Linked DNA regions of Rattus norvegicus. The protein of the gene in region 2 interacts with the protein of the main gene of each other region in a pairwise test. Links are inferred from orthologs where the notes say so. Each region holds a gene or a part of one and is shown on either strand. Other genes may lie near its edges.

Region 1 (4,271 bases), on a different chromosome or scaffold from region 2:
CAGCAGGGGCAGAGTGGAGGGGCTGTGGGACAGGCAGGTTGAGGCTGAGGAGCACCTACCTTGGCCATGTACTCTGTGACGATGTAGAGCCCACCCTTCTCCTCCACAATCACACCCAGTAGCTGGACTAGGTTGCTGTGCCGAAGCTGCCTGTGGCAGGACAGGGTGGTCAAGAGTTCAGCTTGCCCATCCCCCGCCACACTCCACCCAGGCGGCCTGCTCTTATGTCCAGCCCAACTCACGTCATGACAGAGGCTTCAGCCAGGAAGGCCTGGGCTGTAGCATCATTCTTAATGCACTTGACTGCAACTTTGTTGCCTCGGTAATCCCCCAGCATCACATCTGTGGGAGAAGCAGGGGTTGTTTCCTGGACTCTTGGGGCTCCCCCACCTCATCCCCCCACCCCCACTCCCTCAACTCACCTCCAAACTCCCCCTTTCCTATCGTCTGTAGCAGCTTCAGTTCCTTCATGTTCAGGGCCCAGCCACCTGGGGACAGGGACCAGGAGGGAGGCGGTGTGTCAGGGAAGTGAACAGCTAATCTGAAGCACTTGAGATGATAGGCACAGGCTAAACTGTTTTAGATGTGGGTGTCTGGGGTTTCCAAGCCTCTAGGGTAAGGGCAGAGGGCCCGGGTGAGGGGAAGTGGGCAAGTGGGAGATCGGAGACATTGTGCACTCACTGCGGTAGAATTCATCTTGGGCCGCCACTGTGCCCTCCATGACCTTTGGTTTGATGAGGCGAGTGCAGAGTCCGTCGGCATCTGTGGTGTAGTGCTGCAGAGGTGGGGCAGGCCCTCAGAACCAGACCTACTGGGCCCCATTTCTCATTGACCCACGCACTGTTCAGGTCTGACCACCAGAGGGCAGCAGAGGCCATTCCACACAACCTTGAGCTGCTTTGTGCGGAGAGGGTTCCTCATTTCGAGAAGGGTATAATGCCTGTCCATTTCCCACATCGCCCTATCCACACTCAGCTCCTGGACTCCCAACTGCCACTACTGCTTTGGGCCTCACCAATATCTCAAGGTAGATAGCAAAACCTGCCTGCTCCCTATACCAGCCTCTACCAGGTGTACTCAGGGCCAATGTAAGCCAGAGATGAGAACGAGCTTGGAGGGAACCTATAGGTATCTGATGCCAGATATGGCCTGGCCAGAGCTGGGTGGAGCTGCTGTTGGAAGCATCAAGGACCTGTGAGTCTCAAGGATCCTGACGGCAGTGTGCAACCCAGAGGCTCTGAGTGCTGGAAGAAGTGAGTTCCGGATCACACGAGTGCTTCCCCTGCACAGATGAGGGGACCTTCACTGATCTGAACCTTTGTGTCCTTATCTATAAAATGGGGATACCACCCTATTTGTGGGCCTTTGGGGACAGAACTGAGCTCTCTCACACAGGTGGTGCTCCACACATGTGAGGAACCTCAGACTCAAAGAAGCCATCAACATGTCCAGGTCACCCTGCCAGGTGAGCTGGGTCTGGGTTTGTCCTAAGTGTCCTCAGGTAGACTCAGGCGCGAGTGTACGAGAAGGGGGCTCACCCCGGGCAGGCATGTTCCCCACTCACCTCCACCAGCTGCATGAGGTTCTCGAAGTACACCTCCTCATCAATGCTCAGCTTGCTCGCGTGATACATGATGCGGTAGTGCTCCACCTTGCCTTCACAGCTCACACACAGTGTGTAGTCCCCAGGGTAGTTGGTGCTTTCCCGCACCAGGAACAGGCCTGTCTCTGGTGGGTAGAGAAGCCGCTCCGCCTGCTCCCGTGTGATCTTGCCGTGGAACCAGCTACGGGTGGCAAGGCTGGGCGTCACCAGGGTGCTGACCCGGAAGCTTCCGCCAGCCTCCTGCACACACCTTCCCAGAACTCCCAATCTAAGGGCGTCATCTTCTTCCTGTACCCCTTTTTTCCTTCTGCATCCATTAGCTCCAGCCTCTGGCCCCATCCCTAGAACGCCCTCACCTCACAGCCCTAACTCAGGGCTGTTTTGCTCTGATGCCTTTCCAGGAGGACCACTGCCATTTCCTCTTTCCCCCAAACCAGGAGACTGCAGCCCTCCGTCCTCTTGGTACTCACGGCATAAGGCTGAGCTTGGTGCCTGCCTTCACACCCTCACGCTTCTGGACATAGTTGGCTGGGATGATGCCCTCACGGCCCACTTTGTTTTTGGCTTTGTACCAGTTGGGGTCCTGGAGAGAGAACAACACAGACACACTCTGAGGCCTGCCTCCCTCGGCCAAGCAACCAAACCCAGAAGAAACCCCTGGAGGTGATGGGACAGGCATCGTAGGTCCCAAGTACCTTGGTGACAGCCACAATGGTGAGCACATCTCCTTTGCAGAAGGGAAGGTCTTGCTCGGCAGTGCCATGGAAGTTGTACTTGGCAATACATTCTGTACCGGATGGCCAGGAGGCCTAGAGGATAAGGGACAGGTGTCGGTGCAGCCTGGGGAGCTTCTCTACCAACCTGCCCGAATGCCCCTGAGACCAAAGCATCTTAGCTAACCTCCATGAACCTGGGGAGATAACTTCTCCAGAGAGTTCTCAGCCCTTCTAGCTCAAATTCCTCTGTAGCCCTCTCTGGGGCCCTGTGCCCGACAGAGCACACTGGAATTAGTGTTACTTCACACAAAGTCCTGACTGGGATGGAGGGTTGGGCATGGTTGGAACAAGCTGCTCTTAGTACCTATTCTTTGTCTGGCCTGGGGAGGGCAAGACATGGGACCACAGCCTCACGATACCTGTATAGCCGACATCTTCTGAGATCTGGCGTCCCCGTGCTACAGGAAGGCCGGTCTGTTACTTGGTACCATTAGAGCTGCGGGAAAAGAATCAAGTTGAAGATGAGATGACCCCCACCCTGACTGTGATCATCACTTCTTCCTTAAAGGAGTGCAAGCCGTGGTCCGTGACATGTGGGTCCTGGGCTGTTCTAACCAGCCTCAGGTAGACACACACAGACCTAAGAGTCCCAGAGGGGTGCCTACCAGTCCTTACAGGCCCCACAGAATGACCAAGAAGGCCAACGAGGCCGGGAAGACTAGAGGGGAGGAAGTCCAGGGAAACTCTGAAACCGGGCAGGTGCTATGTGGTCCAGGAAAGCTTGTCCTGAGGCCTCTATACAGACAAATGTCTGTGTTTCCTTCTCAGCACACACCCAACAGAAAAGAGCCCGTGTCTACCAGGAGGGGCAGGTGCTCTCCCTGGTGTGCTTTATAGTAACTGGCAGATCAGGAACTGCCCAAGTGCTGAAAATAAAGTAGACAAGGTAGGGAGAAGTCACACAAGGCAGGCAGGGCCCTTCTGTGATCACACGGTTAGATGGCAGGCCCACCTGAGATGGGACAGGTGAGGTCTAGCCTTTACTTTATAGCTATGTATACTACGAATGGAAGAGGACTTTCAGCGTGAGTGCTGTTATATATGAGCAAGTGCATGCACACCTGCACGCACACACATATGCAGGAAGCACAGAAGCTGAGCCCTTAAGACTTCAAAAGGTAGAGGATGGGAGCCAGGGATTGACCTTAGTGAATGGTGGTTCCCTGGAATGCTCAACAAGGCTCTAGGTTCAAACTCTAGTACAAGGTATGGATCTGTACGTTTTAAATCCATGAGCAATCAAGCAAATAAATATTTGTTAGAAAAGCAGAGGGAAGAGGGTGAGGCAGAGGGATGGCTAGTTGGAGGCCAGCCTAAGCTATATGGTTAAAAACTTGTTTTAAAAGAAAATGGCCAGAAAAAATGACATAGAGAAGCTTAGGATATTAGGATATTAGCTTCTATTAGATATTAGGATATTAGCTTCTATTAGATATTAGGATATTAGCTTCTATTAGATACATGCACACAAAACACCAACACACATAAAAATGAATGAATGAATGAATGAATGAAGGAAGGGAGGGAGGGAGGGAGGGAGGGAGGAAGGAAGGAAGGAAGGAAGGAAGGAAGGAAGGAAGGAAGGAAGGAAGGAAGAACTGGCCTGGGTAGAAGCTGATGAAGCAAGGCTGAATCAATCTGGGCCTCTGTGACCCTCGACTTGCTGAGCCTATCCCAAGCACCCTTGTCTGTCTGCCGTATGAGAAGGGCTCCAGTGGCCCTGGCATGAACACTGTAGGGTAGCAAGGAGCTTCCCTGTGAAGCGCTATGGTTGGACTCTGAGGGGGATACGCTTGGGGAACTTCTTCAGGGAGCACACACTCCCAGAGTCCTCCAGAAGCAAGGGTAGAGAGAGCAGGGGAAAGTAACTCCTGAGCAGGACTCCTGGTTCT
Region 2 (3,500 bases):
GTCCTGCTAAGACTGAACCCCCAGTGAACTAGATTGTTGGGGGGAGGGTGGTAATGGGGGGAGGATGGGGAGGGGAATAACTATATAGAAGGGGAGGGGTACGGGTTAGGGGGATGTTGGCCCGGAACCTGGGAAAGGGAATAACACTCGAAATGTAAATAAGAAATACTCAAGTTAATAAAGATTAAAAAAAATGGAAAAAATGGCACATGGTAAACATTCCCACTCAATGAGTAGAATCAGTACACAGCAGAGAGTCTGGATCAAAGCAAAACTGAGACCCAGCAGAACTACTGAAGAATTATCCATGTCTTTGTAATTCTGTCCTTCCAGGTCTGTCCCTTGCAGTGTGGAAGAGGTAGCTGTTTGGCCTGCTCTATGCCACACCTGCAGTCTTCCTTAGCAGGCATTCCATTGTCCTGTCATCTTTAAAATCCTAGCGTGTCCATGGCAACTCAAGTCCATCTTTATAGGCTCACACAGCCTCATTCCACCACCCTAAGCCTGCCAAAGAGCACCTGGCTTGACTGGCTTTCTGTAATCTTGCCAAAGGCTTGCATGGCCCCCTTCATCCTTGTATCTTTCATGTGTATGAAACCAGTACCCTGTGGATGAGGCTGCCCATTTCAGTGGCCAGTTAAAGATCTACCCTGGCCTCCAGAAGCAGGCAATCTCTTCAGCAGAATTCTCAGTCTTGGTGCTCTTCTTTCAAGTGAATGTATGTTCCCACAAGATGCACCTTTTGGTGGGTGGGGTCTTACCCTCAGGGCGCTTTTTTTTCTATTGTCCCCGTGTGATTACACAAGGCTTCTTTTTAACGTGTTAATATCTTTACTGTTATAATTGCTTCCTCAGCACCTGATCTACGTACAACTTTAAATTCTCTCCTTTGCCTAACAAACTGCACACTGTCCTATGTCACTGTCCACTTTCTTCTCCAGCATGCTGTAGACCTGGATAAGAGCAGTGAGTAGGAGCCATGGTACAGCCTGAGTGTTATTCTTTCTGTTTTGAGATATCCTCCACCAATCAAATTAGGTCATTGCTTTCTAATGACCTACATTCTCAGGACATAGGCAGAATGCAGTCAGATTCATTACCATAATACATCACAAATGGCCTCTAGCTCATTTTCTAATAGTGTCTTTGTTCTCCTCTGAAATCTGATGAAGCAGGTTTCTACCGTTCATATTTCTGTCAGCATTATGGTTTTCCAAACTCCCACCAGGATGGCCTTTTGAGCAGTGCTTACAAAATTCTTGAGCTTTCTCAAAGTTCCAAACTTTGTGGGGAACATTCCTCCCACAAGCTAGCCCCAAAGGTCTAAGAACCACATCCTCAAATCCATCAAAGCCAAGGCTCCCCTGCTTGGCATTGATTTTCTTTACTGCTTTTCTCATTACTGCAACCAAATACCGGACAAGAGCAACCTAAGGAGAGACGGGGTCGTTCTGATTTACAGTTTAAGAAGGGGTTCGGTCAATCATGGCAGGGAAAGCATGCCAATGGACATAAGAAGGAACATGTGATCTCACTGACACAATAGGAAGCAGAGAATACACAGGATGTGGAGCCCTCAAGCTGGACTCCCTCTAGGGAAGATTCACCTTGTAAAGGTCCCACAACCTTTCCAAAGAGCACAGTTAGGGACTCAGACTCATGAGCCTGGGAGGGCTTTTCACACTGAAGCCACACAAGGCAAATTCACCCTATGAGATGAGAGCATTCCAGAAGTGATTTGGATGCTGATGCTACAGTTACGAACCCCGCGGATTTTAATTCAACGAGGGAATGAAAAAGAGCCATTAGAACATTTGGGGAGAACCTCTTCAGTGTTTCTTCCCAAAACAAACCACCTCTGGGAACTCCCTGTGTAGGCGAGATGGGACAGAAACTTACTGCAGTCCTTTTCAGCTCTGTTGTTCATGATTTTGGTCTTTTGATTGGGCGTCCCGAAGAGTTTTTTCCAGTTTATAGTGTTTGCGTAGCACAAATTTCGGTTCCCAGAAATAATCACATCCCCATCACTGATCTCCTTGAGGGAACGCAACCCCAGCGATGTTATGTTCAGGCCGACAACCGCCAGAGAAAACTGACCACTAAAAGGGGGAGGAGAAGAAAAATTGTATTGTGTGTGACAGCGAAAGCAATGGGTCATAATTTAGTTTTTCTGGGCCACCAAAGTTTCCTGAACACTGTGTGCCAGTTATTACTAATCATTCTGTGAAAAGTGTGAATCACAACTTTTAAAAAATGTAAGTACTATTGTTTTTTAGATTTCTTCAAGGAAAAGACAGTTTCTCATTCACTTATCTTTAACCTTGGCTAAACTGGAGGGCTGAATCAATGGCTTCATGTCATTTCATTTACTATATTTATAGTTTTCCTAGAAATCAAGAACATGCTTTCTAGGCAACATCCAAACCCACTGTAAGTCAATACTAGTATCTGTCCACCTATCCACCACTCAGCTCCCCAGTCATGTTTATTGAACGAATATCTGTGGTTCCACAATGCCACACATTAAATATTTGTCTCTTTATTCAGGGAAACTGTCTAAAGATGATATAATCATACAGGCAGAGCTGTTTGAATACATAGAAATAAATGCAGTTTTAGTGAGCACTATGTCAGCCCAGGGTAAATAAATATTTCAGGAGCGCCATGGAGGAAAAGCATGGGAGGGTGACTTTCTCCAAGCATAGTTCATATCCGAGACCCAGAAAGCAGAGCTTATAAGATTCTGCAGGTATGAGTCTGGATGAGAGTTGGTCAGATTAAGAGAGAATGGAATCCCAAACCATAGGATGTGTGCACTCGGGGAGGGCAGGGAGACAGAGCTGGGACCGATGGGTGAGGTCAGAGCACAGCTGGGCATAAATAGTCACATGTGATGGATGGACACACACATAGAAGTGGTGTGTATTTGTAGGAATCTTCTTGACACCAGCCTGAGGAGTGAGCCAGCTGAGACAGGACAAAAGAAAGAGAACAGAAGCTGAGGAGTTAAAGAACAAAGCTTAAAGCACTGTTTGGCAGGTCCTCCTCCTAGTCATGCTTTATTCCCATTTCCCTGCTTCATGAATCATCTCTCCTCACAGCCTGTTTTCAGGAAAGTGAGAGGTTTGGGGTAGGAGAACCACCACCATCACTTACTGGCAATTCTCCTCGAACATATGCCCAGAGAAGCCAAGGAGTCAGGGTCTGCCTGGGCTCTTTCTTCCAGGTCAAGCCCCAGTCTTTCGAGAGTCACCTCAGGAACTAGTCATCCCTGAACTTAAGTGCTTAAAACTAAGCACAAGGCTCCTGTGCGGCCGCTTGACACAGGGTGCTAACCCCAGAAAGAGAGCATTCCCGAGAATCTGAGAGCAAAGGCAGGAAGCAAAAGTAACAGTATGCTTAGTATCGGAAGTGTCTATCTAAAGGAGTTTATGGGCAGCGATGTATATCCCGTGTGTGCGGTGCTTTGACTTGTTAAATATTCCACGATATCAGTGGAA
Region 3 (4,120 bases), on a different chromosome or scaffold from region 2:
CCCTCAAGTGGTGATTTCAGTCTCTGCAGGCTGAGAGCTGCACCCTTCACTCAGCCTGTCCCAGTCCTCACCATGGGCACTGGTGCCAGGCCCGCCTTCTGCAACCCAGCCTTCACTCGCTTGGCCACATCACGGATGTAAGGCAGTGCAAACTTGCTGAAGAGCTCGGAGCCAAGATGTCCTGCGTGGGACTCAAAGAGCTGCAATGCCTGTAAATAGGTGATAAGAAAAACACACAAAGAGGAAGCACCTCAGGCTCCACATACACGTGATGGCGTAATTCTCCTCAGGTGACTTTAAACCCTGACACATTCCCCGAGGCTAGGAGCTCAATTCCAGTCAACAAGTTTTGCCTTAAAGAAAAAAATAGAAGCCAGCAGTGGTTGTGCACACCAGCCAAAGATACACAAGAGAAACAAACAAACAAAAAAAAAGAAAAGAAGGAAGGAAGAAAGGGAAGAGAGACAGACAGGTAGTGGCACACACGACTTTAACCCCAGCACTTGGTTAAGAGACAGAAGCAGGTGGATCCAAAAAAAAAAAAAAAAAGTTTTACCTTCTCCAGATCCTAACAGCAACTTTACATTGCAAATACTCAGACCTTAAAGTCTGGCTGACAGCTTCAGGAAGGGCTAAGGATCTAAATGGTTCTCAACCTGTGGGTCACAACCCCTTTGGGGTGGATTGACCCTTTCACAAAGATCAGATATCCTACAAATCAGATGTTTACGATTCACAACAGAGCAAAGTTACAGCTATGAAGTAGCAACAAAGTAATTTTACAGTTGGGGTCACCACACCGTGAGGAACTGTATTAAAGGGTGACAGTATCAGGAAGATTGAGAACCACTTAGATACTCTAACCAGATCACTGGAGGAAAAGTAACACCCCTCATTTCTCCAGTTTAGGAAACCATTGCCTTGGATCCTCATAGACCAAGCTGCAACCTATTTGTCCCTAAGACTCACCTGAGCACCAGCAGCTACTTGTCCTATTAGATATGGGACCAGAGCATCAGTGAGTATGCCAAGCAGCTTGTGACTGGCCAGTGGCTTCTGATAGAGCCATCGCTTGGCCTGAGCCATGGTACTTGAACTGCCGCCTTCAACCATGTACGTCATCAGGGTCCACTGCAGAAAGATGCAGATGGCAGGACATAGAATTCTTTGTCTATTCCAGACCTAGCCTGATCTCTTCATGCTCCCGTCCACACCCCTGTGCCACATTACCGGAGCACCAGCAAAGCCAATCAGTGGCACACGTCCAGCCAGCTGTTGTCGGGTAAGGGTGATGGCTTGGAACACATAGCCTAACTCTGAAGCCACTGCTGCTGGATCCCGTAGACGCTCTAAGTCCCGCTCTTCTCTTAATGGCTCTGGAAAGCTGGGTCCTTTGCCAGGTACCATGGTCACCTCCATGCCCAGTGCCTTAAGGGGGATAAAATATCTGGGTACACAACCTGGAACTCAGAGGGAAGGGTTCTGTTCAACACATGCAACAAAGAAAAGGCTGAACCCCCTGTAAACTCCATTCCTAGTGTTTTCCTCTTCCCACTTCTGAAATTATCTTGAAACCTGATAGGACAGAGGATTTGCAATAAGTGCATTCCTCTCTCCCCCTTTTTTAAAGCCCACATTCCAGGATTAGGATTGAGTACCTGGGGTACAACAAGGATGTCAGAGAAAATTATAGCAGCATCCAGAGGAAACCTTCGCAGTGGCTGCAGGGAATAGCAAATAGGTTAGTAAGGCCACCCACTGAGGGCATAAACCCCACCCTCATTTGTGAGGCCCTCACCTGCAGAGTCAGTTCACAGCAAGCCTCAGGAGATCGACAGGTGCTGAAGAAGTCCTGGGCAGCCCTGGTTTCCCTAAACTCTACAAGAGGAGATGGAGAACAGGACTCAACCATGAGGTCTTCCAAAGTTACCATCTTCCCCTGAAGAATTTCACCAACTAGATTTTCAGGTTTTATCTAGACCACACCTTTACCCCTGACCTGGTAAGTAGCGGCCTGCTTGTCTCATGCACCAAACAGGAGTATAGTCTGTTTCCTCTCCCCAGGCTGCTCTCAAGAACGTGTCATTCTTCAGCTCCGGGAAATTCTGGAGTCTGCGGATGAGATGGAATGTACAGGTAGGAGTAAATGTCATTATGCTAGACCGTGGTTTGGGGAAGGCGTGGGTTCAGTCAGGCCGCTATCTGCCTCCTCCAGGCCTGCTTGCAAACCATGGCTCCCCACCCACAGCTCCTCCCCTCTATCAAGTTGCACACAAGTTTCCAGGAGAAGGGCCCCACTAGGGCCTCTTTCCTACACATTTGTCCACTTTCCCAAACTCAAAGAAACTGGAGGTACTAGGGAAGTGGAAAGAAAATCCAGTAAGGAAGTTTGGGGAAAGGGAGTTAATTTCAGGCAAGCTTCTGAAGCTGAGGTCCCCAAACCAAGAGAGAAAGGATCAAAGCTGATGGTCCCAGGTGCTAGTTAGTTCTGAGTCACCTAGAAAGGAAGTCTTGGAATGCAGTCCCGCAAAGTAGTCCGTGGAATGGAGATTGCGGGAAGAGGGGGGGGGGGGGGGCAGGGAACGAAAAGGTTCCGTTCCATGATTGGAAGATATGGAATCTCCGCGACTTGGGTTGGTGCTTGGAGATCTCCAGAAAAATAAGAGTTTAAGGACATATCCCTGAATTGGAAGACTCGGATCGGAAAGCAACGTAGCTACAGCGCGTGCAACAGAAAACTCACCCCAAGCCGTTCGCCTCCATGGTAAACAGTAACTGAGCGGTCACCGCTTTAATCTGAGTCTCCGCCCCTACAGTCCAGGCCCCGCCCCTTCCTGAAGAGAACCACGGGCGGCGCCATATTGAGAACCACGTGACCAGACCAGTGACAGCTGTGGGGCTGCCTTCCCCGCTGCCCGTAGGACCCCATCAATTTTTCACCGTAAAGTCCACTGTGGCGACGCAGTAACAAATGACCCAAAGGAAAATTTAAACTTTTCTCATCTGTGGTCTAGAAATACTGAAGACTTAGCACAGGCCTCGCTCTCACTCCCGTTCATAAGTCTAACAATGTTGTTTGGCAAATGAACGGTGCAGAAGGTTGTAAAGGAGCCGAAGATTTTAGAGTCCACATGTACATTACTAACCAATTTGTAGGAATGATAGAGTGCTGCTCAAGACAGGGACTGCTCTACCAATCGTTTAAACCAAAACTTGACAATCACATTTAAGTGGGCAATGATTATTAGTCTTCTGGAATTAGAAGCAACAAATAGCGTCCATCCAGAGTGATTTATACATTTCTGTCAGTGACTGAACATTTAGTCAGTCATGCGCCCCCTAAGACAGATAGTTGAGCAATTTTTATGAGATTTCTCAAGTCTGGTGTGGTAGCTCACGCTTTTAATCCCAGCAGTCGGATGGTAGAGGTGCGAGGATCTTTTAAGTTTGAGGTCAATCTGGTCTACAAAGTGAGTTCCAGTACAATCAAAGCTACACAGAGAAACCCTGTCTCAACAAAACAGTACAACACAACAAAAAGATTCCTTCAAATGTAATGTTTGTTAGGGACAGGGAGAGAAAAACATGAGGCCAAAGCATCAGAGTAGATGGAATAAAGGCTTGAACAAGGGTAGTAGCACTAGCTCTAGTTAGAGGATCGCGAGCTCGAGATCAGCCTGGGCTACATAATGAGACCTTACCTTAAGAATCTAGTTTTGAGTCTGATTTGATAAGCCAGGGTCAGGGCGGAAGGGGTGGTGAGGGGAGCGAGTCACAAAATAGGGACTATCAGAGTACACCTGACAAATTTGGTAGCAATAGGTTGTGCATTTAATCCAAAACATACGGTAAAGTAGGGTGTGAGGTGGGGCAGGGTGTGGTGGGAAGCTCTGCTTGCAGTCCCCGGGCTGCGGCGGGGCAGGGTTTCCCTGGACGAGTCTCACTTCACGGGCTTCACTATGGCCGGCCCGGGCCCCGGCGCAGCGCTTGAGTCCCCGCGACAGCTCCTGGGTCGCGTGCGCTTCCTGGCCGAGGCGGCGCGGAGCCTCCGGGCCGGGCTGCCACTGCCTGCGGCGCTGGCTTTCGTGCCGCGAGAGGTGCTCTACAAGCTTTACAAGGA
Region 4 (3,500 bases), on a different chromosome or scaffold from region 2:
TTTTCAGGGGGCAGGGTCTTATTCTACAGCTCAGGCTGGCCTTGAACCCCCTATGTAGCCCATGCTGGCTTTAAATGAAGGGCAATCTTCCTGCCTTAGCCTTCCAAGTGCTGGGATGAGACACTACACTCAGCCAGAATTATATTTTTCACTCAGGTAGCAAATACTGTCAGTTTTTTCAACAAAGTAATAAAGTTTCTGTGTTTATTTCTGAGGGAATGCTTGCCAAATAACCATGTTGAAATAATCATCACTTGTGTGTCAGCTACTTCATTAAGTAAAATAGTACTCTATAAAAACTGGCTAGTCTAATTAGTAATACCAGTAGTCTGCCTCAAGATAATCACAGTGGCTCCCTGTGGCGCAGCACAAGAGCTTCACATTTCCTCATTAACACTACACATCTAGGGGATGTGTACTTAGGGTAGAAATATAATAAAATATTACAGCTCCATCAAGGATGCTCCTAAATGGAGATGGCTTTTTAACTGAGGAGTGCATGGGAGTAAACCCAACTAGTTCAGGTCAGTGTCACCATCTCCATCTGTGTTGGCCCCGGCAGCACGCGCTGCTTTTATGTCATCAGTGCATATGTCCAAGAATCTTGGGGCTCTCACGCCATGCTCCAAAAGCCATGGGTGGAATCAAAAGGTAAAAGCCGTAAGATAAGAAAGGTTACGGTACATACTTTTAGTGAAACAAATATATAAAATACTAAATATATAATTCATCTATGATAAAGTGGTTTAAAAAGCTCTACCTCAGGGAACACACACACAAAAAAAAACTTGCCAAGAAAGACATGGATTCAGTCCCCAGTACCACAGCAACACAAAAACACAATCACACACACACAGAGCTATAGCGGTGGTGTTTTCTCTAGGGACTAGAAATAATGGACTTTCTGGTTGTCAGTAGTTTTTATTTTTTCCAACTAGAAAAGCACTAATAATTAACCAAGCACATTAATAAGTATCGGAGCTGGGGACCGAACCCAGGGCCTTGCACTTCCTAGGCAAGCGCTCTACCACTGAGCTAAATCCCCAACCCCAGTAGAACAGAAATTTAAGAGAGAGATTAAACAGAAAACTGATTCACCCTCTAGTAACTTGAAGTTCGCAGGCAAATTAAAGAAGCCACACTCGGTGGCTGGAGGTGGTTGTCCTTTAGGACACTCTAACCAACCAGCCACCCAGCCACCCCCTTTCCTTTCCTCTTTCCCACTTCAGGTCCTTCTCTGATCACCCTGCCCCAGTTCCCTGATAAAAGTTTATTTGTGACAGAAAAAAAAAAAAAAAAAAAAAAGCCGCACTTCACGCTACTAACTACCTTGATTTTGGTTTTACTTTCCCTTGAGACAGAGTGTCATGTAGCCAAGGTTGGCCTTGACCTATTACTGACCCTCCTTTTGCCACCTCAGAGTGCTGGCTGGGATTACAAGTGTGCACCACCACACCTGTTTGATTTCTAAATTCAAACCTATTCTCTTACACAGTACAATCCGGATGCAAAGCATTACTCCCACACTCGGCATCTAGCTTAATTAGAAATAAACACATATCCTATTTCTCAGTTAATAAGCCATTAAAGAATGCCAGGAGCACTAAACAGAGAAAGCTGCACCCCTTGGTTATAATACCTGATTTTTGGTTCCGGTCAATGAGGGGGAGAGTGCTATCATCATATGAATGGCTGCTCTGGCTTCTAGATGCATTGTTTAGATTCACCTAGAGACAAACATAAAACCCAGTGTCATAGAAACCTGGAGAGATTCCTGGCCCCTTCTCCTAACCATGTACCTCCCACTTCAGGAACCCTGAAAGAGCATGGGTTTCCTTCCCCATGCTCACCTGCCTTAGCCCTCACACATTCTTCCTGAAGGGCTTAGATGCTAGGTGCCTACTGACAGTAACTCCTCAGAAAAGACTGAGTCTAGGCAGTAGTGCATACCTACACTGCTAGTACTTGGAGGACAGAGCTAGAGGGAGCAGAGAACAGTAAGCACATGAAGGGTCTGAGTAGACAGGAAGCTCACAGTGGCCATACATTATCACTGCTCTCTACCAACAGCATCTACTGTATGTTCAACACTGAGAGAGAAGAACTACTTCAGCAAAAATAAACTGTGAGCACCACAGTTTATAATAAACTGGATTAAAAAGTAGTGTGGCAAGTCTTTACAATCTAACCAAAGACAGAGGCACTAGCCAAGGAACAAAAGAGAAGAAAAGTCAAAGCTTCAGTCGAGAGTTATTGCACCTGGAAGTCTGATTTCTTCCACCCCTCTTTTTCCAGTGGCTTCCGAAGCTCCTTATAGCCCCAGATTGTCTGCAGGACAAGAGCTGCTGCCCGGACTTCTTTTTCTGAGCGATTCCTATGAAGGAAAGTAACACCATACAAAGTTTAGTTTTCAGACCAGGGATCTCAGAACTTTTACTCTCTAACAAAGTGGTTTTCAACCTTCCTAATGCTGCATATAGTTAGTTCCTCACGTTATGGTGACCCCAGACATAAAATTATATTTATAGCTACTTCATAACTTGACACCCACAGGTTGAAAACTACTGCTCTAACAGCACAAGGATATAAAAATGTAAAAATGGGTGAAGCCAAATTTCACCAACTCTTATACTGTATGAAACACTGACATAAACTACTTTGATGTAACAGTCCATACCAATTTACAGACCGACACTAAGAATGAAAATAGAGCAATATCTCTCCACATGTTATAGGAAGAAGTAATCTCACAGAATGGAAGAGAAAAGTTATTTTCTAAAAACTCTTCTTCAAACTCAAATTCTCTTAGCTGTGATTAAGAAAAAGCTCACCCTGATTTGTTGATCAACACCAGCTTCTCAATACCCTGGGTCTCTCGAAGCTTTTTGGCGGCTTCCAAGTTCTCAGCAATAACTTCGTTGATGGTGTTCAATATAGAGACCACGGTGTCTTCAGAGAAATTCCAGGAGGAGTTCTGTTGACCTCCTGGCAGATTCTTTACCAAGTTAGGAATAGCATGTTTGCCTATAGCAGTAAAACAAAAGGTCAGAAGGAGCCTCACAATACACTTGAGAGTAGTAATCAGGCCAAGTGTTAAGTTCTAGTCATACAAATTAACTCCATTATTACTAAGATTATTTCAAAGGGGGCAAGAACATGAGACAGCCATAAACTCACTGCCATTCATCTATTTCCTCAAGAGCACACAGACAATGAGATGCTGGATATCAAATATAGTCTGGTCTTTCCAGACACAGTAATGAAAACAGTACATTCAGTACTATCTTATGATAATCTGTGGGGCAAAGCATTCTTTATGAATTTAAAAAAATTCAACTACTTGGGCTCTGCCACTAACTAGTTCAATTCTGGGCAAATGAAAAAAAAAAAAAAAAGAAAAGAAAAGAAAAATTCTTAACAATGCCTAGAGATAGAGAAAACAGATATTCAACAAATAATAATGGTTATAATGTTTTGGAAGAATCATCACTTCTTGCTTT
Region 5 (3,171 bases), on a different chromosome or scaffold from region 2:
CCAGGGTGTTGAGGTGTGAGTGGGTGGGTGTGAATGGGAGCACATTCATAGAAACAGGTGGAGGAGGGATGGGGAATGGGAAAGGTACTTCCTGAGTTCTTCCTTACACACACACACACACACACACACACACACACACACACACACACACACACACATGTGTACATGCAATAAATTAAGCAGGTTCTTCCACAGCCTGCCTTGGATATGCTAATATGTCTTATGAATATGTAAAAGGGCTGTAGTCGCTATCCCTCACACCTTTCAGTTCCAATGAAGTGTTTCTCAGTGCTCCCACAGCTCTGAGCAGGACTGTATATCAAGCTGGCTGTGGGCAATGGCACTGGAGAATTCCTCCTGCAGGAGAGAGTTCCATCTCTAACACTTCCCAATTCTTCAAGATAGTGTTAAGACTTTACATTCTAGTTCATTTTGTCAGCTGTTATTTCATGTTCATGCTCCTGATACGCATGATTTTGTTACTAAAGTGAAACAGGAAAAAGGTTTTGCAATGAGATAATGTTTTATTTTATTTTAATTTCCACCATTTATATACAAACACAAGTTAATAAAACACGTCACAAAACTGTAAAATTCATAAATTAATATTTATAGGTGCATAGTCTCATGCTCACATATTTTAAAATATATATTAACAAATTTCACAGCACATCATTCTTCTTAGACAGAAAGAATCATTAAGGACATCTAAAAGTCTTATAGCAAATCACAACTTCTTGAGAACAGCAACAAAAAACGGTGAAGAGTTAGAAATAAGTGGTAGTCACTTAGGTGTTTTAAGTTTCTTCTAACATTTTAGGTTTGAAGCCACAACAATATCCACAGCACACAAGAGCCTGCTACCATGTATTCACTGTAGTGAGAGGGGAGCACCGGGATGCTGAGGGGCAGGTACAGGACTCCGATCACTGCTGATGGAAGACTTTGAAATACACTGTACAGCTTTGAGAAAAGGTCATGACTGGGCACGTTGGAACTGAGCACTTGTACGCCATGGAAGAACACCTGGGCAGATCTTAGGACAGTGGGTACAACGACATTCTTAGGCTTCAGGCTCATAGTCTTGGTAGCCTTCCTAATATCAGGAAAAAAATAAGAGCATGCCTTGTCAGTGAAGTGACAGTTATCAACTGTCTGCTTCACAGGAGGGAGGGCTCAGCCTTTCAATCAGATAAAATTGATCCTCAGCTCAGTGTTTGGGGCTTATCTGTCATGAACATGTATTGGTTTTTCCATACGTAGCATCTGTACGTTATAGGGGTCATCACAGATTATTAGGCCTAATTCTAGATATATCCTTTGATCTGTGATTTCGTGCTGCAGTATGAATTGGCTGGGGCTCTGATTTTCTCCTTTGCTCTGCGTTGTGAGCCGTGAACACCTAGGTGAGCTGCATAAAGCCTCCTCCAGAGCTCATCCTTCTCCTTTCTCCCCCATTAGGAAACCCCACCTTCATGAGAGGTTTCCACACAGGCTCATTTATTCTAAAGCCTGAGCCTCCTGGACAAAATCTAGGTAACATTCATAACAGGAATGGTACTTCCTCAATTAATTGATTATATCAGGATTCTACTGTTAAACTAAACCTATTATCAAACTCTTTTTCAAATGTCAATATAAACTTAAATGACAAAGTTAATTTGGGACTCTACAGTTTGTCTATAACCTTAATTATGTCTTCAGCCTTAATCTATCATATTTTATGTTTTCTAAACATGATTCATAACTGCCCATTGTTGCTCAGGCATTTTCATATGCCTTTGTTTCTGGTAACCTCTTGTGCTAGAATGTTCTAAAATGTTCTTCCTTTGACCTGCCATATCCCTTACTCTCTTCCACAAAGATTAAAATCATTTTCTCAAAACCCTTTTTATGATTGAACTACCCAAACCATAATATGAGGGAGATGTGATAGTGGCTGAGTGTTGCACATAGGCATTTACCTCTGAAGGTACCTAAGAAAATACCTAAGGGTATTTTTCTTGGTTTTCTGTTTGTAAGCATTTACCTCTGAAGGCATTTCATAAGCCTCACTGCTAGGGTCCACAGGCATGTCTTCCAGGATTCCCTCTTGTGGGTACCCTTCTTCACCCTACAGACAGGGAAGTGAAAGCACAGTAAGATAGTGTTTTCACTACTGAAGCATAACTTGAAAAAAAATTATGTCAGGTATACCTTCAAGGCGCTACAAGAAGTGTTCTCAGAAGTGCATTCTTCAGAATTACCGAGCCAAACTGTACCAAACCACCAGAGAAAAACATCATGCAAACATGGGTTACCAATCTGAAGCTTTCAAAGCTTTTGCCCAAGTAACTCATTACCCAGGAAGTTGCAAAGCAAAAGACCCTAAGTTCTCTCCATGAGCACAATGTTATAGTAGCAATGATTTGTAGTGAACTGGTAATGATGAATCAAATAATGGCAAAATATTCTATTTTTTTCTGAAATCATGATAATTCTCTAATAGGGACGACTTAATTTTGGTGTAATGTTTAACAGGACATTGTTTGTGGACAGAATCCACACAACACTTGAATCCGAAAGTAAAAATGTTCCAAGAAAGTGGAACTAATATACAGACACATCATTATGGTTTTCCCTAAATTTGTTAAGGCAAAGTCCATGTGTTTTGTAATTCATTGTTTTATTTTATTTTATGTGTAGGGATATTTGCCCTGTGTGTAGGTCTGTGCACTATGCATGTGTGGTGAAAACAGAGGGCAGAAGAAAGCATCACATTCCCAGAAGCTTGAGCTGTAGACAATTGTGATTCTCCATACAGATGCTAGAACATAAACTTGGGTCCCCTGGAAGAAAAACATATGCTCTTAATGACTAAGCTATATTTCTGGCTCCAATAAATTCATTTATAAATGCTCCCAAAGAAATAGTTCTCTTTGGAAATCTGGAAATTATACATACTTGAAGTTAAAAAAGAAGCCAAAGATTAGATTGGACAAAATTTCAGATTATCTCTCCACAGTGCTGACATCATAGCATTCAGTCTGACATGATGTGCCTTCTTTGTTTTCTCCATCAAAGGCCTTTTTGTTCTTTCCCGTTTGTTCCACCAAAGTAATTACTGAATGATAGAGTTCAGCAAATATTCAAAGAACAGAGATGTAACTGGAGCCTAAATGGGCTAATTTG
Region 6 (3,931 bases), on a different chromosome or scaffold from region 2:
AGTTATTTAAAGGTGCTTTGCTTTCATTGTGAAACACGAATTTCATGTTCCATTCACAGAAACAGAGTTGATGACAGGTGATTTATTAATCCTTCAGGCCCACAGCTCGGCACCTGGCCGCTGACCAATGGGACCTAAATGTATGTCATTCTATCTGCCTCTAATCTATTAGTAAGCTATCAGTGAGACCCTGCTGAAGACAAGTGGTTCTCTTCACTGCAAAAGTACAGAGAGGCGGCATTATTTTACCTGAAACTTAAAAGGTGAGGCATTTTACCCCCTCCAAGTGATTTGCTCCAAGTTGATGAAAATCCTCACGTGGATCTAGTGAGACACCAGCAAGGAACAGAAGCATCCTTGCCTTGGTGAGCACCAAGCTAAAACCCATCTTTGCCCTGCCTCTCAAAAGATGTAAACATACTACAGTGATATGACAAGAAATCAAACAAGCGTTGAAAAGTACTTGAGGAGGATTAACCAAGAGCCACTGTGTACAAACAAAAAGGTTCTAAAAGAAAGAGTGGGACTTGGGATTGATGTCTAGTCTGTGTACTTACGAAGGTTAAGTCTGACGGAGAAGGATATTTGCCCAGGGCGACTCACTGACACAGGGACTACTTGACTCCGACCCTGTCAGGAGCCATCTAGGTTAGGCTAAGGCTATCAGGTGGCATTCCCAGAGGTGGGCCGCTGTTTTGTTGCATGATGTGCAATGGGTGAGCTGGATGGCAGGGTCCCAAAGAGACTTCATCTCAGGATTGCTTCTTGCAGTTGATATGCCTTTCCTGTCATTATTCAATTGATAGTCTCTAGGCATTAGCCCACCCTATTGATCAGATTTCCTGCGGATCAACATAAAGGTGAACTCTCATGAATTAATGCTGTTTAGATGAATGAGTGATTCTATAGAATTCCTGATTTGAATAAAATAATGTTAGGAAGAAAGTTTGAAGAGATGGTCTTACTTGTTTTGCTAGAAACTTGTAGTAAGATTAGAATCAAGAATAGAATGTTCCCACTCCGCAGAATAGTAAGTATAGGCTGCATAATAAGAAATACAATGAGCTTTTAGAATTACACTAAAAAGAGAAATAAACTTGGGACAGATTTCGTGTTCAAGGAAAAACATGTAGGTCCAAGGATACAACCACAGGTGTGCACTATGATAAGGCAAGGCCATGTAAAAACTGTTGCTTTGAACTTATAAGGAGCTCATCGAATGAAACATTCCTTTGAACTTAAATGTCAGCATTCTTCTGAAACTCCCATTTTATGTAACATTTTATCTCTGAGGCAATTTTCTAAAAGAACTTTTTGTCTGAGAAAGTATAAAAAAAAGCCAGAGAAAAGAAATAAAGTGGTTAGTTGGATAGTTTAGCTTGGAGGGCTCTGCTCCATCCACCCATCTATCCAAATGTATATGTTTGTCTATATGTATGTGTGTAAGTATATGTGTGTATGTAAGCATGCATGAATACTTGTGGAGTGTCTGAGACAGGTGATTGGGTCCAACAAAAACGTGAATGTGTTAATGTGTAAATAGGAATGTGAATGAAATGTAAATATATGTGTGAATGTATATATCAGGTCAGAGAACGGTGCTATAGCAATAATCCTTTACCTAATCCCCCTCACTGTAAGCAACAAGTGTCAATAGATCCAGAGGCCTGTAGCTTCTGTAGTCTCAGAGTAACAATGTTGTCAAGATGGACATAGGCTACTTTAGAAAGCAACCCTATTCTCTTGCAAGACCAAGTCTTGCCCCTGCTGATGCTCTTGGCCCTTGGCTGCTTCAGAAAAGACTTCACCTAGGGCTGAGCTCCTGGCACCACCCAGTGCTTCTATCACACTGTATTACTCACACACACTCATTTGCTTTTGTTGTTGCTTCTGTTCATGAAGATGTCATTAGATACAACTAGCTGAGTAGCCAGAGACCCTCTAGCAGGGATCCCTGGTCTGCTGGCAGAAACTTTGGGTTCTACACCCTTTGTCTCCTGAGATGTTCTGCCATGAAGAGGGTTACCATGTGCCCTACAACTTTAGAATATTACATGAATGGAAGCATGATCCCATGGCCTCGGGGGACTGATGACCACTGAGACGAAGAGAGTTCAAGTCATAAAAACCTAACATGGGACCTCCCGTTCACCACTCTAAGAAGCATTTCTTTTGTAAGACAGGGAGGTTGGGCTAGGCTGCCCCTTATGTACTAATCACCAACAATAATGAATATTTTACCGCCCTACAGACTGTAAATGCCATATACTTCACTTTTGCATAAAGCTCTGTCCACAACATTCACCATGTAAGATATTTCTATGCTTAAAAAAATTAAACATGACCGCGTGGAGAAGAGAAATGGATGAAGGTCAAACCTACAGGTTGTAGAACTGAGATAGCCAAGTCTAAACAACTGGAGTCTCAGGACTCTCTGCATTTGGTACAGTCTCTTTTGTGGCTGCTAAGCACACTGTGCCTATATTCCAGGCGTCCAAGTTTATCCCATGAATCAACTCAGTCCAAACACAGAATGGCAAATAAACAAAGCACAAAGTAAGTGTTCTCATACCCCGTGGCGGTCCTCGAAGTATGCCAGGCTGGCTTTCGTTAAGACGAAGAAACGGACTTTAAAATTCGAGGGAGAAGTCCTTCTCTTCTGTTGGGACTTCTTGATCAGCTGTTCTTCCAGGAGGATGAAGTTGTTCATGGTCCAGTTCTGAAAGGTGAGGCGCCTCGGGCATCACCCCTGAGTTCGACTGAAGGAGAGGAACGGCTGGGAACGCGACAGGATGCAGTTGATCTTTAGAGAGTCGTTCAAAGGCAACTTGCCTCTAGCCTTATCTTTTCTATCAGCATCAGCCAGCCTCACCGCTGAGCTCCCTTCTCTGATGTCAAAGGCCACGACCACATCCTTTCAAAATTCACCGAGCTAAGAGGCACATGCGTACCCTTAGTTACATGGTTTGGAAATGAGGGTTGAAGAAATTTAGACTTATAAGAGGAGTTCCATTTTAATTCTTAAAGCTCCTGGATTAGCCTCTGCAACAGTTAAGTCATGTAGACAAGGGAGTAAGAGATGGGGTCCAGGATTCAGTGGAGCTCAGCTTGTATGTAAGTTTCCCATTGTTTTATTAGGGATTCCCACAGGCTTAGTGGCTCAAAGCACCATGGGGTTACCTTACAATTCTCTAGTTTAGAAGTCTGAAATGTGTCTGGTTGAGTGACAATCATGGTGACTGTGGGACTGTGTTCCTTTCTGGCAGGTCTCTAGGGGATACTGCCTCTAGGACTATCCTACCTCCTGAGGGACACCCTGGTGTCCTCAATCTTTACTCTTTTTCTCCATCTTCAACCCCCAAAACTGCAGGCCAAGTTTTGCTTGCTCCATATTGCCGAAACCTCTTCCTCCTACCTCTGCTCCATTTAATCATCCTGAGAACCACTCTGGGCCCATCTCACAATAGTCATCTAGGACAGGATCCCTATATTAAGGTCAGTAGATGGGCACTGCAACTCCACTTGGAGTGTAAATTCCCCTTTGTCACCCAACCTCACACAGTCACTGGTTGTGGGGATGAGGGCATGGAGAGATCTGCTCAGAGCTGCTTGTTCTACCTATCGGTTTGAATTCCATCCCTACCACCTACCATCTGCCCAGTCAGTGGCTTTGAACATCATTTCCTTCGTCCATGAAAGGAAGCAATGGGGGCTTGAGATGCGGTACTGCAGGGCCCCCTTTTGACACCTTTGCCTGGCTTCTGGGGTGTCCTGTCAGTCTTCTGGGTATGCCACTTCACAAATGGGGTGTCCTGTGTCTGAATGAATTCTTTTGTCTCTTTCTTTTCTGGTGAATGCCTAAGTGATACTGCCAGCCTCAGCTAGCATGCACCCTTCTCTGGGAAGCCTTTCAGATTTTCCTCACCTATTT
Region 7 (3,931 bases), on a different chromosome or scaffold from region 2:
GGGCCTCCAGGCCCTGCTTAAATCTGTACGTAAACTCACTTTCTTCATGAGATGCATGCTTAACATCTTCGAAGAGCAAAGATGGTCTCTATCGTTGTGGATCCTGCTGTAGTTTTATTAAATTCTCTAAAACTCTGGACTGTGCTCGTATACCTAAAAAGAAAACGACTTTAAAACGTTATTTACTGAATTCTTATTGGCTCGAGTCTCTTGGAACCCATTGTGAACTTGGTTAGAGACCTTGGCGCCCAAGTGCAAGTATTGGCACAAAGCAGTTGCTCAATAAATGTTAGTGAAATGTCTGTTGAACGGAGCTGTGATTTCCTGAAAATTCTCCAATGCTATAAAAATATAACAATGAAGAAAACAGGCAGATGCACATGGAATTGAGGTGCCTCTTTGTATGGAGATGTGCGGAGTGAAGACTTCAGTTGTACAACACGAGGCTCACCTACCCTACCCTTTGGTTCAATAACTACACTGTGACTACCCTTGAACTTTTAAAAATATTTGCTTACTATGATTTTATATTATTTATTCTTTACGTGTGCATCATATGCTACGGCATGGATGCTATGTCAGAGAACACCTTGTAGGGCTTGCTTCTTTCTTTCTTTCTTTCTTTCTTTCTTTCTTTCTTTCTTTCTTTCTTTCTTCCGTGTGTGTCCCAGGGACTGAACTCACGGTGTTGGATTTGCATCTTTCCTTACCGAACTACCTGGCTGCCCCACTTCAACAGGGTTTGAGCTTGCTTCACGGCAGCTCCAAGATTCTGCCTCTTGGATTGACCCGGCGGCAACTGTTGCTCAGTAAAGAAACCCCGATGGAATCGCGCTTAATGACATATTTGTGAACAATTATAGACTTTTTTAGAGCCAGGAAGAGGGGCACACTTTGCTCAAGTTCAGGCCTGAGCTCTTTAAGCTGCCAACACCAGCAGGTGCTGTTCTTTGGGAATTAACAGACATGGAAATCACTGGGAATCAACAGACCCATGGAAATCACTGGGAATCAACAGACCCATGGAAATCACTGGCAGCTCTTCCAGAAGGCAGTGGTTCCAAAAGAGCAGGCTCTGGGCAGCAAGAGAGACGCGTTTGGTACAAGAGATGGGAAGGAAAATGGTTAAGATTTAGAGAAATAATAATACTCCCATCATGAGTTTTCACAGTGCCTTTCCCTAAGGTACATGGTATTTATGTTAACTCTTGTATTCTTACAGTGTCCCTATGAGGCAGGTATAAAACAACTGAAGGTCTAAGACATGGAAGCTACTATTAGAAGCAAAGGCATTTCTTCATATTGAATAGATCGGTCACCTCTTTCCCCTCAGCTTCAGTAAAGTCATTTTTAAAAAGACAAAAGCCATTACAATTTAGGGAGAATAAGATTACAGTTTACTATGTGGGAGACTCTCTGAGTTGAGTTTAATAGGGCATTTTCTTCAGTGATGTGGGGCTACCTCCTTTTACAAAACACAAAACACAAAAAAATCTCAAAAAGGGGATAAGTCAGAAGTTTTTAGAACTTGGCATTGAAATATACTACTTGCAGGAGGAGCTCTGTGAGTTCGAGGCCAGCCTGCTCTACAGAGTGAGAGCGAGTTCCAGGACAGCCAGGGCTACACAGAGAAACCCTGTCTTGGGGGTGGGGGTGGGGTGGGAAGACGCTACTTAAAAGTGGCTGCTTTTTCAAGAGGACCTCTCTAACATTATACTATGAATATCAAACTTTGTAGGTCATGTTGAGTCACTCACTAGAAGAGACCAAATTAAACCAAACGTTCTTTCTGAAACCAAAAATGAAGATGGGACCGGATAACAAAGTAACAGTTTATAATAAACGTGCCCATACGCAAGACTCTTCCACTGACGTTTCTCGGCTGCCGACAACGTGTGCTTATAACTGCTTTATCCCTGTGGTGCTTTAGGTGCCAAGTAGCCCCCTTTAATTTGCCTCTGGGTGTGCACTTCTGATGACATACGAATTGGTACATATGCCGGATTAACAAGGCTGCCTTTGAGGTGAGTGGATGCGGTCATGGTTAAGTTAGTGAAAACCTGGTCTTTGAGTTCGTTCCTTCCTCGTGTCCTGAAGCAGATGGGAACAGGAGCAGAGACGAGAGACGGCCTTAAAGACGCCGCATAACTATTAATAAAGAGACAAAGATAGACAACACCCTCTCCTCATACCTTCCCGCGTGAAGTTTCCTCTTATTAAAGGCACCCAAACCAGTGTTCTTAAAGACAGCAAATGCCACCAGAACTAGCAGTTTGAGTTGGTGAAGAAATTGAGCAAGAGAGAGAGAGCTCCTGGCCTCAGAGTTCTATTCACGGATGCTCAAACCCCTGCTGCTACCTCCTGCTCCTCAACCTCACTATTGAAGAGAGATCTCTGGGACCTCAACCTCCAAAGTCTTTTCCAGAGACGGCTCTGAAGCCAGTTAGTGGAAAGGCTGTTTTTCTTTTCTGTGAGTCGAGTAAAGACCAAGTTTTCTCTAGTTCATTTGACAGAAGTTGAATCCAATCCCCGCTAACGTAAGTCAGCGAGATGAGAAACCTAGACGGTTGAGCTGAAGTTTAGAAAAACCAGTAGGGCCAGCTTTCATTAGATTTGGCTTATAGAGAGCAGAATCTTTAAAGCGCTCAAGGTTTCCAGAGGGTGTGCACCCACGGTGCATGACATACCTTTGGGAAGCGAAGAGCCTGAGTTGAGTGTGTATCTCGGCTTTGACAACGAGTTATTAGGTTCGTCTTTTGCCGGTGGGAAGATGCACTCAAATGTCAAGTTTACCGCGCCGCCTCAGCCTACAGGTCTGTCTTGAGCTGGCTTCTGAGCACCACACGGAAGCAGGGCACAAGCCCCAGATCCATCAATACAGCTTCCTCCTCCCTGCCTCTTGCTCTCCCTCCAAGCTACCCCCAGCCCGTCTGCAGTCTGCAGGCAAACCACACAGGAACTAGCAGACACCCTGCTGCGCAGAGCTGGGCGTGAGCCTTAGATTGTGTGGTTTTGTTTTCTTGCTGCTAGAGTCGAACCAAAATGCAGGAGGTTCACCGAAACATGCATGGTCCTTTATGTTTCAGTTTTAACAAAACCCGCCTGCCCTCAACGCTCGCATTTGCATAAGAAAACTTCTGATTTTGGATATGGTCCAAGAGGCTACTGGCCTCAAGAAAAAAAAAAAAAACCTGTCTTCACATCCCTCCATCCAGAGAAACGCAAAGGCATCTGGGAAAAAGTTAAAGTCTCCCTGATCAATTTATGATTAGTTAAAATCTCAGAGAAGTCGCTTGCTCAGTGTCTCCAGCCTATTTACCTAACTCTTAGCTTGTGATACAAATCTTGACCCAAGAGAGAAGGAAGAAAAGGGGTGGGAGACTCTCTAAGCCAGGAGTTGGGTTAGGGACGCACACTGAGTTAACAAGCGGATGAGGCAGGGGTTCTAAGTCCAGGTTTGCCACCGTCATGTGCGAGGGTCTTTTCTTGGACCTGTGTGGACTTCACATTCTCTTGAGCAAGCTGGACCCAAGGTTCTCTGACAATTTAAGACTCATCATCTCCCTCAACTTCCCTAGTTCTCACCTTCACATTTCTTACTCGCCCTGCCCCCATACCACCTGCAGCCTGTTCAAGCCTGTGTCTTCCTTTCTCTTTGTTCTTGTATCTTTTGCACAAAAAGGAGGCATATTTCAACTGGCTAAGCAAGGCCTTTAGAGTTTGGAGGGGGGACCCAGGGTGAAGAGGGACATTTTGGGATGCCACTGGCTTTAATCTTGGGATAGATTTCTCTATTTGATTCAATTTGAAGTTCTGAAATCCTGACTTAATCTTCATTCCTGCTTTCTGTGGTGGCTTCTCATTGCTTCTTTAAATGATTTCTAAAATCTATTTTATTTTATTTTTAGTGTTTTTGAGATAAGAATTTCTT

What was found.
Region 1: the proteins of Egfr (region 2) and Csk interact in a protein complementation assay, tested with the Homo sapiens proteins (3 studies listed by BioGRID and IntAct, with this or other methods). The link is inferred for Rattus norvegicus from reciprocal best matches to the Homo sapiens genes EGFR and CSK.
Region 3: the proteins of Egfr (region 2) and Urod interact in a protein complementation assay, tested with the Homo sapiens proteins (2 studies listed by BioGRID and IntAct). The link is inferred for Rattus norvegicus from reciprocal best matches to the Homo sapiens genes EGFR and UROD.
Region 4: the proteins of Egfr (region 2) and Ctnnd1 interact in binary tests that used the Homo sapiens proteins (3 or more experiments, as listed by UniProt). The link is inferred for Rattus norvegicus from reciprocal best matches to the Homo sapiens genes EGFR and CTNND1.
Region 5: the proteins of Egfr (region 2) and Snca interact in a protein complementation assay, tested with the Homo sapiens proteins (3 studies listed by BioGRID and IntAct, with this or other methods). The link is inferred for Rattus norvegicus from reciprocal best matches to the Homo sapiens genes EGFR and SNCA.
Region 6: the proteins of Egfr (region 2) and Itk interact in a protein complementation assay, tested with the Homo sapiens proteins (3 studies listed by BioGRID and IntAct, with this or other methods). The link is inferred for Rattus norvegicus from reciprocal best matches to the Homo sapiens genes EGFR and ITK.
Region 7: the proteins of Egfr (region 2) and Grap2 interact in binary tests that used the Homo sapiens proteins (3 or more experiments, as listed by UniProt). The link is inferred for Rattus norvegicus from reciprocal best matches to the Homo sapiens genes EGFR and GRAP2.

The regions. Positions count from the first base shown.
Region 1 is NC_086026.1:66,927,475-66,931,745, forward strand, and holds the start of Csk (tyrosine-protein kinase CSK), read right to left. Parts: upstream 2,801-4,271; 5' UTR 2,754-2,800; coding exon 2,739-2,753; intron 2,413-2,738; coding exon 2,299-2,412; intron 2,187-2,298; coding exon 2,074-2,186; intron 1,785-2,073; coding exon 1,565-1,784; intron 776-1,564; coding exon 682-775; intron 489-681; coding exon 423-488; intron 343-422; coding exon 243-342; intron 151-242; coding exon 60-150; intron 1-59. UniProt on the Homo sapiens protein: Non-receptor tyrosine-protein kinase that plays an important role in the regulation of cell growth, differentiation, migration and immune response.
Region 2 is NC_086032.1:95,504,126-95,507,625, reverse strand, and holds part of Egfr (epidermal growth factor receptor isoform 1 precursor), read right to left. Parts: intron 2,100-3,500; coding exon 1,900-2,099; intron 1-1,899. UniProt on the Homo sapiens protein: Receptor tyrosine kinase binding ligands of the EGF family and activating several signaling cascades to convert extracellular cues into appropriate cellular responses.
Region 3 is NC_086023.1:135,702,581-135,706,700, forward strand, and holds the start of Urod (uroporphyrinogen decarboxylase), read right to left. Parts: upstream 2,801-4,120; 5' UTR 2,764-2,800; coding exon 2,744-2,763; intron 2,113-2,743; coding exon 2,000-2,112; intron 1,879-1,999; coding exon 1,799-1,878; intron 1,722-1,798; coding exon 1,659-1,721; intron 1,461-1,658; exon of another isoform or gene 1,429-1,460; coding exon 1,231-1,428; intron 1,132-1,230; coding exon 970-1,131; intron 210-969; coding exon 72-209; intron 1-71. Other genes in the region: E3 ubiquitin-protein ligase HECTD3, read left to right, coding at 3,960-4,120. UniProt on the Homo sapiens protein: Catalyzes the sequential decarboxylation of the four acetate side chains of uroporphyrinogen to form coproporphyrinogen and participates in the fifth step in the heme biosynthetic pathway.
Region 4 is NC_086021.1:90,096,190-90,099,689, forward strand, and holds part of Ctnnd1 (catenin delta-1), read right to left. Parts: intron 3,025-3,500; coding exon 2,832-3,024; intron 2,375-2,831; coding exon 2,260-2,374; intron 1,728-2,259; coding exon 1,640-1,727; intron 1-1,639. UniProt on the Homo sapiens protein: Key regulator of cell-cell adhesion that associates with and regulates the cell adhesion properties of both C-, E- and N-cadherins, being critical for their surface stability.
Region 5 is NC_086022.1:91,025,974-91,029,144, forward strand, and holds the end of Snca (alpha-synuclein), read right to left. Parts: intron 2,114-3,171; coding exon 2,030-2,113; intron 1,097-2,029; coding exon 1,064-1,096; 3' UTR 501-1,063; downstream 1-500. UniProt on the Homo sapiens protein: Neuronal protein that plays several roles in synaptic activity such as regulation of synaptic vesicle trafficking and subsequent neurotransmitter release.
Region 6 is NC_086028.1:31,313,205-31,317,135, forward strand, and holds the start of Itk (tyrosine-protein kinase ITK/TSK), read right to left. Parts: upstream 2,801-3,931; 5' UTR 2,711-2,800; coding exon 2,573-2,710; intron 1-2,572. UniProt on the Homo sapiens protein: Tyrosine kinase that plays an essential role in regulation of the adaptive immune response. Regulates the development, function and differentiation of conventional T-cells and nonconventional NKT-cells.
Region 7 is NC_086025.1:113,996,225-114,000,155, reverse strand, and holds the start of Grap2 (GRB2-related adapter protein 2), read right to left. Parts: upstream 2,801-3,931; 5' UTR 2,688-2,800; intron 1-2,687. UniProt on the Homo sapiens protein: Interacts with SLP-76 to regulate NF-AT activation. Binds to tyrosine-phosphorylated shc.